Bombyx mori: one gene and its partners. The protein of the gene in region 2 interacts with the protein of the main gene of each other region in a pairwise test. Links are inferred from orthologs where the notes say so. Each region holds a gene or a part of one and is shown on either strand. Other genes may lie near its edges. The genes, in order: fasciclin-2, amyloid-beta-like protein and JNK-interacting protein 1.

Region 1 (3,660 bases), about 1.6 Mb from region 2:
GACTTTAGATTCGCTGCAGTTAATCAAGTTGGCATTGGTAGTTGGGGATCTCCTATTACGGTTATCATGCCAAGAAGGTAAGAAAAATACACAAACTTTTTTTTATTTTGGTTCTGTAAAGCGTAGAATTTTTGATCATAGACTTTTGCATTCATTGCCTTTTTTTTTTGATAACCTTTACTATGATTCAGGTCACCACCAGAACAGCCGAAATGGAGAGAGAACCTTAGCTCGGAATCGCTTATTCACGGAAAATACGCAGACAGATATGAACTGAAGTGGAAAATACCCGCTCATAATGGGGAGCCTATTGACATGTACGAAATCCGCTATTGTCCGGTAAGTGAATCTTCCAATTAATTGGAGTACGTAAACGATTTGATAGATCTTTAATAAGCTAACCCTTTCGACGCAGGTTTTGAAGATAAGCGGCGAATGGCGTGTGTCGTCGGAAAACGAGTGCGTTACCCAAGAACTTAAGTCATTCGAAGCCATTACATACGAAGTCAGAGGGCTACATCCGGACACTCGTTACCGCATTCATCTGCGGGCTCATAACCAGCTCGGTTTCTCACTGCCCGCCCAACTGTACGTCCAAACTGCTCTTGGTGAGTACAATAAAGAGAGTAATGAAGTGCCGTTACGGGCGGGATTCTACGATGTCTACACTGCGTCTGAACCTTTAAAGCCCTCCTCAGCTACGACCGCTAACTATTATGTTCGTTCCCTCGTCGCGTCCTTTGTATTGTGTTTGTTTTTGTGAACTGCTACTGATTCCGAATTGTGTTAGTGCTTCGGTGCGCTTCCTGACAGTTGGTTTTCGATCATGTAATTATAAATAACTGTGTGAACAACTATTTTCGCATTCTAAACTTTTATTAGTTTTAAAATTGGTTATGCCGCTTCGATAAGTACAATTCTATGAGACGCGAGCTGTTAACCAGTTTGATCATTAACCATTGTTTATTTTTTCGATTATTTTGATTTGTTTAATTAAATTAAGTTTCGTTGTATTTCTTTTTCGATTTATTTAAGAATGAGATCTTGCCAATTAACTACATCAAAAAAAAAACAGATTAAGGTACAAATAAACGATAACAAAATATTTTACTTTCGTTTTTGATTCATAGTTAAGTTGTGAGATCTATGTTTTAGTTTTTAAGTTCATTGCTAATTTACTAAATTTAGTTTATTTAAATTTTCTTCATTAATGCCCTGTTATGTTAGTGTTAAATTATTGTGTATGGTAAGTTATGATTATTATTATTCACAACATCATTTTTTTATTTTTTATTTTTTTTTTGTAAATTTCATTTCATTTTTATTTAATTGAAATAAAAATGCTTATTTAACAATAATAGTAAATATTTTCTAGGTAACCCAAATGGATGTCCCAGCTATTTGAGATGGGCAAACACTAAACTGGACATTATAGCTACAGTTCTTGTATTATTCTTAGTTTGAATAAATAAAAAAACACTAAATTATATCTAACAAAGTCCAAAGTTGACTTATTGTTGTTTAGGAAATAATTATTGTGATAATATAATTTGTTTGTCTGTAAATACGTAACGGTGTTGATTCAATGATTAAAAATATAATAATTTATAATAGATCTTTGAAATTTTAAATTTGTTGTGCCAATTTTTTTAATTGAAAGTTCATAGAATGAAAAACGCAAGTAGTTTTAATATGTAATATGGCTATAAAAATTATCACTGCCATTTAATTCAAAATATTTTCCTTGCAATAATAAATAATGTAATGCCAAAAATTAAAAAGGCTTACACAATATAGACATAGATTAAGATTTAAGAGTAAACTTTTGTGTACGAATTTTTTGATGAGTATTTTGTCCTTTTGGTATAATATAAGTATTTTAAAAATAATGTAAGACGTTCCAGTGGTGATATCATCTGAGAGACTAGTAAACATTGAGATGTTGAGTGGTTAAATGAAAAAACAAAAGCGGTTAGATATTATACAATAACTACTACTAGGAGTGTGAGTGATTGTGATGTTTGAGTAAAAAGACCAATGTGAAACATAATAAATGTTTGAAAAACAACATCCTTAATTTATTCTGTCGCTAAAATAAATGTGTTAGTTTGTTTTATTGATTCAAAGTGATACAATTTGCAGCAATTCCTCGGTACCGTATTGAAATACATGAAAATTTAAAAAATAAATTAATCCGATTAAAATATTTATAAAATCTGAAGAAAAGAAAAACTATTGAGTGTAACAAAAATTATTATATAGTCTCTCTAGTCACACTTCGTTCTTAGTGCCGCTAATTGTATGAATAGTATCAGTGGTTTGAAATTACTCGCGTGCCGCTTATTTAAAATAGAATATGTGTACCATATACAACAGTACACCCAAGTTTTTATGATCCGATTAATTATATAAAAACGCATAAAGGAAAAATTTATACACAGATTTATACACAGACCTTTATTTAGTAGATATATAATTATAATTAATAGACTAATAAATAAATTAATATATTAACCAAAAGAAAGCTGTCAAGATGCTTATCAAGGAACCAATCCATTAGCCAATCCCTAACTGTTGACTGTTTGTCGAGTGTGTGTTGTGTCGCCCTCATGAGAATTGGGTAAATATTATCTTTTACATTAAATATGAAACCCTTAATTTAGTTCATAGTGATGCTGCATAGTTTTCTTTGGAATGTACTAATTACCTATTTGTGCATGACCTATTTAATACACCCTTCGATGAGTTTGTTTCACATTCTTCCACTAGCTTGTTCCATGCATCGGTGATTAACAAAATGTGATATCGGCGGTCAGTTTTCTGAGGCATCTTTATTTTACCATTCAAATTCATTTTTGTATTAAACAAGATATTTCGGATGAAAATTATCAGTATTTTATTTTCTGATGCATGAAATAGTAAAGATATTAGATTTTTTTATTTGAATTTTAATTACAGGGTGTTTTTCTTGTGAATTTAGTGAAAATATACCGATTATTGTTATATTTTCGCTTACAACGTTTTAAAAAAAGTTTAGGTGATGGCTGTCATGACCCCGAGCAATAGTGACCTTATATAATGTTTACGTTAATTTATTCCCAAGTTAAATAGATCTTGCTAATGCTTTAGAGAAAAAAGATCTATTGTCATGGGGTTTGAACATTTATTTCGCAAAAATTAAATATTATGGAATGTTTGCATCTTGACAACTTTACTTTTCTTATTATTATTTTCTCATAATTAGTATTTAGGTTAAAAATTTTATGCGTCATTTGTTTAACATCATTCATCATCATTATTTTCACATTCAAACCCCATTTCATGATAGCGAAGTGCTTACTGTTTGTGAATTCACATTTCAATACTCGTTCTGGAAATCACTTTCGGTAGCTATTGGTGATTGGGTGCACGTAATTTATTATTTGGAAGCACTCCCCATTTTTCACATTGATCGTAATGAATGTAAAAAGGCTTGCTGTATAGTTATATATTGAAATAAAATACTATGCATAGCGTTACGTTTATTACAACTCCATACTCATTAATCTAACATCCTCAGCTTCTACATGATGCATAAAACTAACGATACAAAGAGCAGTCGATGTTTGCCCGATGCTTAATAAAAATTTTATAAGTCTAAATAAAAAATATTTGGTGCGT
Region 2 (4,174 bases):
AAATAATTTTGGAAAATCTATACTAATATAAATAAATCTACAGTGGTTTTTACGGATGTTCCGTTATAACTAGTGAACCATGCATCCGATTGGTTTGAAACTTGGTATCCATGTAGAAAATACATGTACTTAATGGATAGGCTAATATTTATATGAGTGTTGGACTTCCTACACTAGTTGCGGGGGCGTTAATGATGAGAATCTTTGTGGGGGGAGAAATAATAATGTTAATTTTAAATGACCAGCGAAGCAGACGGGTACAGCTAGTCGTTAACAAAGTTAAGAAAAATTTAAAATTAAGTTCGGAGATTTTTACACTGACCGTGATACATACATTAAGTATGTTTATTCGGAATTCATTTTAAACCAACAGAAAACTTTGAAATTTGTACGTAGAAATTTAACTTGGTTAGTTAAGCTTACATTACATATTCGCACTGTGTCCATGTAAATCATATACTAGGATACTATACCTATAACCAACTTCCAAATATTTTAGAGAGATAATTAGCTCAAAGAGTTAATTAGCCCATTCTATAATAGAGTTGAGATTTCGACATCATGGCGCAATGATGACCCCGATGACCATTTAATACCGACGAAGTGAGCGGAAAACATAACAAAAATTATATTTTATAAAAGTAAAAATACCCCAAATAGTGTCATGTGGAATAGTGAAAATCGTAAAAACCGTGCAAAAATGCTTTAAGCTGTATGTTTAATAGTCTAGTAATATAACTAGAATTTATTGATAGATTATCGTTTGATAATCCTATTAAAGTACTAGAACCGTCTATAATGTTCGAAAATGACCTTCGACATGAGAAACGAGATACTCATACGGGACTTAACATCGGCCGTCGGTAATAAATTTTCCCAAGACAAAGTTGTCGCCTACCATGTACTTAATAAGACTTCATACGCATGTTACGAAAATTTATTAATACATCCAAAATGCCTACATGTATGTACGTACTTTACGCTTCGATGACTCATCGTATAAAAGTTGTTTGAACAGAAAATTTATGCTTAATTTTCACATGAATTTTATGAACAACAGAGTAATGTTAAGAGACTGTGGCCAAAGGAAACTGTTGTTTGGTAGTTAAATTTGAAAAAAAAATCGTCTGTTTAAAATGACGCATCATTGGAAAATCCAGACAAAGCTAGACGAAGACTATTCGTTATACCCTTCGATAGAGTCCTCATTGTGCGCTGCGTTTTTGCTAGTGCGCGTGCGTTATCCCTCTACGTGTAGCTAGCTCTCTCTGTCGCACGGGAGGGGCAGTATTCTCCATCTCTGTCCCGGGAGGGTCGATCTATACGACGCTAGGTACGACTACGGTGCCATACCAAGCCAGCAGTACGCAGGTTTCTGGCGTCCGAAGCGAACGTCAGTGGTAGCCAGGCGATTACAGGAACGCAACGCGGCCGCAAAAATGACGCGCGCCGTGCTTTTTATAAGTGTTTTTACCGTACTGTTGGACGTCCTCCACGCCGGGCAGGTGAGTTATGCTTAAGAATTTTGCAGGTTTTTATTATTTCGTAGGTTATCCGGCTGGTTTGGCATCGTTTCGAGGCATATGAAGCCGAAAATCGATGGCACGCGTTCACTAATGTTTTCAAGATCGTCGCAAGCTGAAAGGAAGCAGTTTACACGGCAGCGGATGCCATAAAAGTTGTTTTCGTTAACGCTTAGGTTTGAGTTTTTTTTAGGTATTCGTAGGTTGCGTAACACACGCCGGCGGTTTCGCCGACGGCCCGGAAAATTGGCTTTGCCGTCGGCAACTTTTTCAACAGTAACAAGAAGATTCTTTCCCTTATTTTTAGGACATATTCGAGTATATGTGAAGTTTTCTTTTTATTGCGTATACTTTTAGATAGGTCTTCAAGAGTAGCAGTATAGATCGGGATTTATATGGCAAAGAGAACGGATATATCGTTCTTTGGAATCTTAACATCAAAGATGACATGATAATGATCATCTTTACGCGTTATGTAATTTCTAAATCACGAAATGTTAGGGGTTTTTAAATAAACGTGGATCTTAACGTGTTAAAGCCTTAATCTAATACGTAAGCGCGTTGCAAATAATTGTTCGTTCGATAAATTCATAATTCCGCATTTTAAATTTAGCATAAAATGATTTCGAAGTTGAAGTTGTTTTAATTATTAACTGACAAGTTTATAAAGCTAATTATCGTTCTAAAAAATCTTTTTCTCGATAAAACTCATCACGTTGCCTTGAAACTTGTAAGTATACTTGAGACCTTAGAAATTATATCTCAAGGTGGGTGGCGCATTTACGTTGTAGATGTCTGTGGGCACCAGTAACCACTTAATACCAGGTGGGCTGTGAGCTCGTCTAACCATCCCAGCAATAAAAAAAACTTGAATATTTGAATAAATGAATTATAAGAGTAGGTATATTGGTTTTACTTTAACCATTTTTGTTGGAATTGAGCAATATTAAAATCCTAAGGATTTTTTTTAAATGGATTTCGAAATCCGAAATGTTTCAGCAAAAAAATATTTGTATTAAAAAAATTAAATGTAATAAAATATATATTTAATAAATACAAATATAATTTTCATGTAATAATTATAAAACAAATACGTGGAATTGAAGAAAACACTGAAAGCTTTAAATAAATTAATTTAAAATTATTTTTTATATAAGTAGTGATTTATATAAATAGAGAACAACTAAAAAGACACAAAAAATATAATAAACTTCAAATTAAATTTAAAGAAAAAAAAACTCTAATTTATCAACTTCCGAGATTCGATTTAATCAATTACCAAAATAATTAAATACAGGTTTATGTTAAATCATGTGATTTAAAGAAATATATTTAATATATTATAACATTTATATAAATTAATATTACAGAGCTTAAATCTATAACTGAACATAATATGAGATTAAGTCGGTTCGTAGTTATGATTCGAAATCCAAAAAAAGGTCCCCCTTTAAAATTAAATTACCATAAATATGGTACATGTATAATTATCATATCTAGACCGCATTACTTATTTTTAACTGTGGTAATATTTAGGGTGACACGCCAGGGACTTACGAAACATGAGCCGTGTTATAAGTATAAGCTTAGAACGATTGTAATCTAACACCTACAACGTATATTATACCAAAATTCTATTTCAACATGAGTAAAAGAAAACTCTAAATCACTGAAAAGACTGCTGTGATATTTTTTATATATAAATAAAAAGATTTTCTAGCCACAACACTACTCTTCCACTTTTTAGGAATTAATCATTAAAAATAAGGCATTCGATTTTCGTTTAGCTTAGCTCGCGTGGACTACACCTTATAACGCGTGGGAGAAGATCCGTACGCAGTAGTGGGATGAAAGGAGTGGTTTTCGAGGGCTTAAACTATTTCTATATCGATACAGAAAGTTCTTGAAAATCGATTAAGTGATGCAGAGTAATTTGGGCGTGCAGGAAAACGTAATCGACGTACTTTGGTATTTTAACTAGTTACGCAAGCGATTTAGAATTGCATTTCTATATTAAAGCGCTGTTATTGACATTAACCATATGAAAATTATTAACGTTATTTATCGATTAGGTACCACTATAAAAACGCATTTGTAATATTTATGAAACTTTTTAGAATGTAATTATTTATCTATCTCACGTTTTGTACACGGGCCTAGGGATAGACCGAAAAAAGCATAACAACGTAAAAATACACCGAGAACGGACATCTCTTTGAATTTTTAATTAATAATAAAATAGTGACGTGTTTTTTCCTCACTAATATTCTAGAAATTAACTCGGCATTACCAATTTTACATGCATTTCTTAACATTTTATGATTTGTTTAGTAATTTTATACGGACTTTTTATTTTTCATTTAATCATTATTTTATACAAAGACAACAAAAGACATATCAAAAGAAACTCTATTCCAACCGGGTGTGCACAATACACTTTTTTCTTTCTTTTTTCAGAAAAAGAAACAGAGTCTAAGAAGTAAAATATGTAGAAAAATGTCCGAATTCTATTTAGCAGTTTTTGCGTGATGCGCGCACAACGAGAGACTATTAGTATCATTTTTTTATACAGATTTATAATATTGTTAGAATAATACCTAACTGTCTACTATGGTGGTGGTTCTAAAAGAAAATATGCTATAAACCATATT
Region 3 (3,660 bases), on a different chromosome or scaffold from region 2:
TTTGAAATATCTTTCTTCCTCTTCTTTCTTTCTTGTACTGATTCCGACCGAGAGCTGAGGTCGGCTCTCGTAATGCTATGTACTACTTACTTGCGGCTACTAACTATTAAGCTGTCGACAGGGACGTCTTAAACTAGGCTGGGGCCCTTGGGCACACAAGAATTTGAGGCCCTTTTGGAAAGTAAAAAAAGCGAATTATAATAACATTTTTTACTGAGTATGACCATTTATTATAGGTAATCAAATACAGTATGATATAAAAATATTAATTATATTAGAATGCTGCTGGTTTTTTGGTTACGATTACGATAATGGTTTCTTTCGGGATTTCTGTTGAGAAAAATATTTCATTATATCTTTAAAGTAAACTTTTTGAAGGATATCACTTTCCATGCCCATAATTGACAAATTACTCAGCCGTTCTTGTAACATTGTTGTTCGCAATTCATTTTTTATTCTCTTAAGCTGCGAAAATAACCGCTCTCGACTACAGTTGGTAACCAAATTGTCGGTCCTTCGGGGCCCCACTGAGAATGGGGGCCCTGGGCACGGGCCCCGTGTGCCCTTATGGTAAAGACGGTATTGGCTGTCGAGAGATTAACGGACAACAACATCTGGAACCCTACGAGAGATTTACCATATACAAAACTACGTTAAGAAAACTAACCCAAGATAAATTGCTCACCCTAATAAATATCGTTCCCTTTTTACTTTGGCATTTGCTGGGTCGAAGTCGTTGTAATCCATATCGACTGCGTAGGCGGAGGGAAAGATTCCTTGCTGTCCTGTTCGTAAATTTACACCTAAAACGAAAAACAGGATTCTTATTTATGAAAATTATTATACATAATATAAATAGGTGAGTTACATTAGTAATATCACTTTAGTTGCATAATCTCGAATGAATGTGTTATAAGATCGCCCTACCTTCGCACCATAGATCTTCTGCTTCTTTTTGAACATAAATAGGGTCCCCTATTTCCACCTCGATTTCATCGTGATGCCTAGGGTTAAATTTATGTAGGCCTCTGTGGGTTGCTTCAAGCATTTCTAGTTGACTATGAGGTACTGTGGTCATATTTCCTGCAAAATTCATTCCACTGATACTGCAACTGGACGAGGGCGACACTAAAAGAATGAAAAAAACATATAAATATTTTTAATTAAAGTACTTGACTGATTCACGTTTTGTTAAGTAACTGAACGAACCGTTTTGCTGTAAGGGTATTGGCGACAAACTCTTTGGACCCGTGTCGATAGGGGAATGTGCGGTGCTGTGTCCACTGTCGACATCTCCCAAGCTTTGCAGTCTCTCCGAATCTGGGCTGGAGTCTTCGTCGAGGAGATAGCCACATTTTAGCACGAGCAGTGGTCTGCTGTGACATCCTGGTCTTACGAGCATCCCGGTTAGAGCCCCAAGTTCATCAGCTAGAGATGCTGGTTGGCCACATGCTAGAATAGATGCTGTAAAAGTTAAAACGCCAGATGAGGAACTAAATCGTCACTTTAGATTTGTTACTTTAAAAAAAATATGCTTTTAATCCGATAATCAAGAAATCATGCAATTATATATTTGTCGATGTTGCATGTAAGCATTAAGGGCCACCAGGGCATTTTTAGGGTTCAGGTTTCATAAGGAAAAAATGGAACCTTCAAAGGATCACTTTGTCGTCAGACTGTCTATCAGTGTTTTTGTGTGTTCAGGTCGTTATTCTTATGAACACATATGCAGTTAGATTTAGTTCCAAATACAAAGGCTTTACGACCGAAGGAAGCCATACTCAATCTCAAGCTTTTCAGTTAACGCAATTTATAGAGCACTTTCTGTTACTCTAGTATAATGAAATATGGCAAGAGGTTATGCTCTTATAGCACAAGTAAAGATAAAAGTCTGAAAATATTATATAATTCGTATCTTCGAAGTCAAAATTATAAAAAAATATAAAAAGTTGTTGTTGAACCTCAGCCTCAGCCTTGGTCTGAGTACTCGGGTATTACTGTCCTTATTGTCTTTATTTTGTTTTTAATTTTTTATTATTATTAACAGTATTATTAAATCTCTATTGATATATTAATGTAATGCATGCTGTGATTGCCTCTAATTAGAGTTGCAGTTATCAATCGGTCTATACATGTCAATGTTATTTTATGTCTTACTGTAAACCCTGTCGGTAAGCCTTAAATAAATAAATAAATGAAATAAAAGTATTGTTTTGATAAACAAACTGCGTTATTGTTAGTTAGTGCAGCATTAGCTATTAAGTGGAAAATGAACGGGAGACACATTTTTTGACACCAAAGACAACTTGTCTTTAATAGGCATAAACGGGAAACCCAAATAACTTAATATTTGATCGCGGTAATTTCTGGTGTATTTCAAATTGAAATGTTCTGGCTCTGTTGAAATGTGAGGTCGAAATGTTGTCTAGAATAGCGCTCCATCTCTTCCCGTAGTGGACGTTAAAGGGATTCACAGTTTTTTTTTAATGTTGATATCCTTAAAACTGGGCAGCAGTGTTGTCTATGTATTAAGCTGCTTTCAGACTACGCTATACTATAGTGCCATATTATAGTATAGCAGCCTATACTTAGCCAATAATATATAGCACAGTATTGTGTGAACGTGTCCATATTATCATCAATGTACGGTATGCGATATTGTTGTTTATTTCGCTTTTTGTCGCTGCCTACCGCTTAATACTCTCCAAAAGCCTCTTTTAAAGAAGGACATGTGGTAGCGCTCGGGAAAAGCGTGGAGGGGAGCTCAATCCATAACCGGATGGCACGAGGCAAATGTGCTATGTGTTATAATAGTATATGCTATTATATTATAGCGTAGTCTGAAAGCGACTTTATAATAGCACATCGAGCTCGCCAACCGACGTTTTCGCCCGGTCTGAGGGTTCACCTCCGTCAGAGCGCACGGCGACCCTAGCTAACGTTTACTGGTAGTAAGGCGTGTTGGAAGCCTTACCACTTTTCTGCCTATTTTTGCCGCGAGTTGTCATGTTTTCCGGATTGGAGTACGGGACAAGCATAATACAATTGAGATTTCGACCTCGTATCTCAAGATGACGTAGCGGGAAGTAGACCAGGCACGGCATTCACTTTGTAATAAGAACTAATTTATACCAAATAAGGTCTGATCAAACTCAGTCATTTCGGCAATTAAAAAAAAACATATAATAAATAATCGTGTTATAAGATGTTTTTTTTTCTGTGTTAGATTAGCTCTGCGTATGTTTGATTGTCTGTGAGTGTTGTGTGTGCCGGCGTTTGTTTGCCTGGGTGTGTGTATGTATGTTTATCTCGGTAAAAAGAAATGATTATACTGATTATATTATCTATAAAACGATATATAATATTAATTAAAACTGATTTCATAAATAGATAGACTTGTTCGATGGGGTGGTAATTGTACATTTTTAATTTCTGCCACCAGTCGCTCAACCGCTTTGATTCATGACGTCAATGGACAGTGACAATGAATGTAGATTCAGGTAAACCGCATACAAAGTGTGTTTGCTCTGAATAAAAAAAATCCTTTTCGGCGGGAAAGTAGAGAGTGATGCAATATCTATCGTTTTCTTTTAGCAAGCTTTATCTTTTGTAACCGGACCAATTGTGTTTTAACTGTGTAGTTTTATTTTTATTTTGTAA

Evidence for each region.
Region 1: the proteins of amyloid-beta-like protein (region 2) and fasciclin-2 interact in binary tests that used the Drosophila melanogaster proteins (3 or more experiments, as listed by UniProt). The link is inferred for Bombyx mori from reciprocal best matches to the Drosophila melanogaster genes Appl and Fas2.
Region 3: the proteins of amyloid-beta-like protein (region 2) and JNK-interacting protein 1 interact in binary tests that used the Drosophila melanogaster proteins (3 or more experiments, as listed by UniProt). The link is inferred for Bombyx mori from reciprocal best matches to the Drosophila melanogaster genes Appl and Aplip1.

What each region holds. Positions count from the first base shown.
Region 1 is NC_085124.1:10,075,512-10,079,171, reverse strand, and holds part of fasciclin-2, read left to right. Parts: coding exon 1-77; intron 78-191; coding exon 192-339; intron 340-415; coding exon 416-608; intron 609-1,375; coding exon of another isoform or gene 1,376-1,464; exon of another isoform or gene 1,465-2,068; intron 2,069-3,660.
Region 2 is NC_085124.1:11,682,891-11,687,064, reverse strand, and holds the start of amyloid-beta-like protein, read left to right. Parts: upstream 1-1,344; 5' UTR 1,345-1,439; coding exon 1,440-1,505; intron 1,506-4,174. UniProt on the Drosophila melanogaster protein: During development, plays a role in the regulation of the neddylation pathway. Appl and APP-BP1 interact antagonistically during development.
Region 3 is NC_085107.1:7,551,821-7,555,480, forward strand, and holds part of JNK-interacting protein 1, read right to left. Parts: intron 1,465-3,660; coding exon 1,210-1,464; intron 1,129-1,209; coding exon 928-1,128; intron 804-927; coding exon 686-803; intron 1-685. UniProt on the Drosophila melanogaster protein: The JNK-interacting protein (JIP) group of scaffold proteins selectively mediates JNK signaling by aggregating specific components of the MAPK cascade to form a functional JNK signaling module.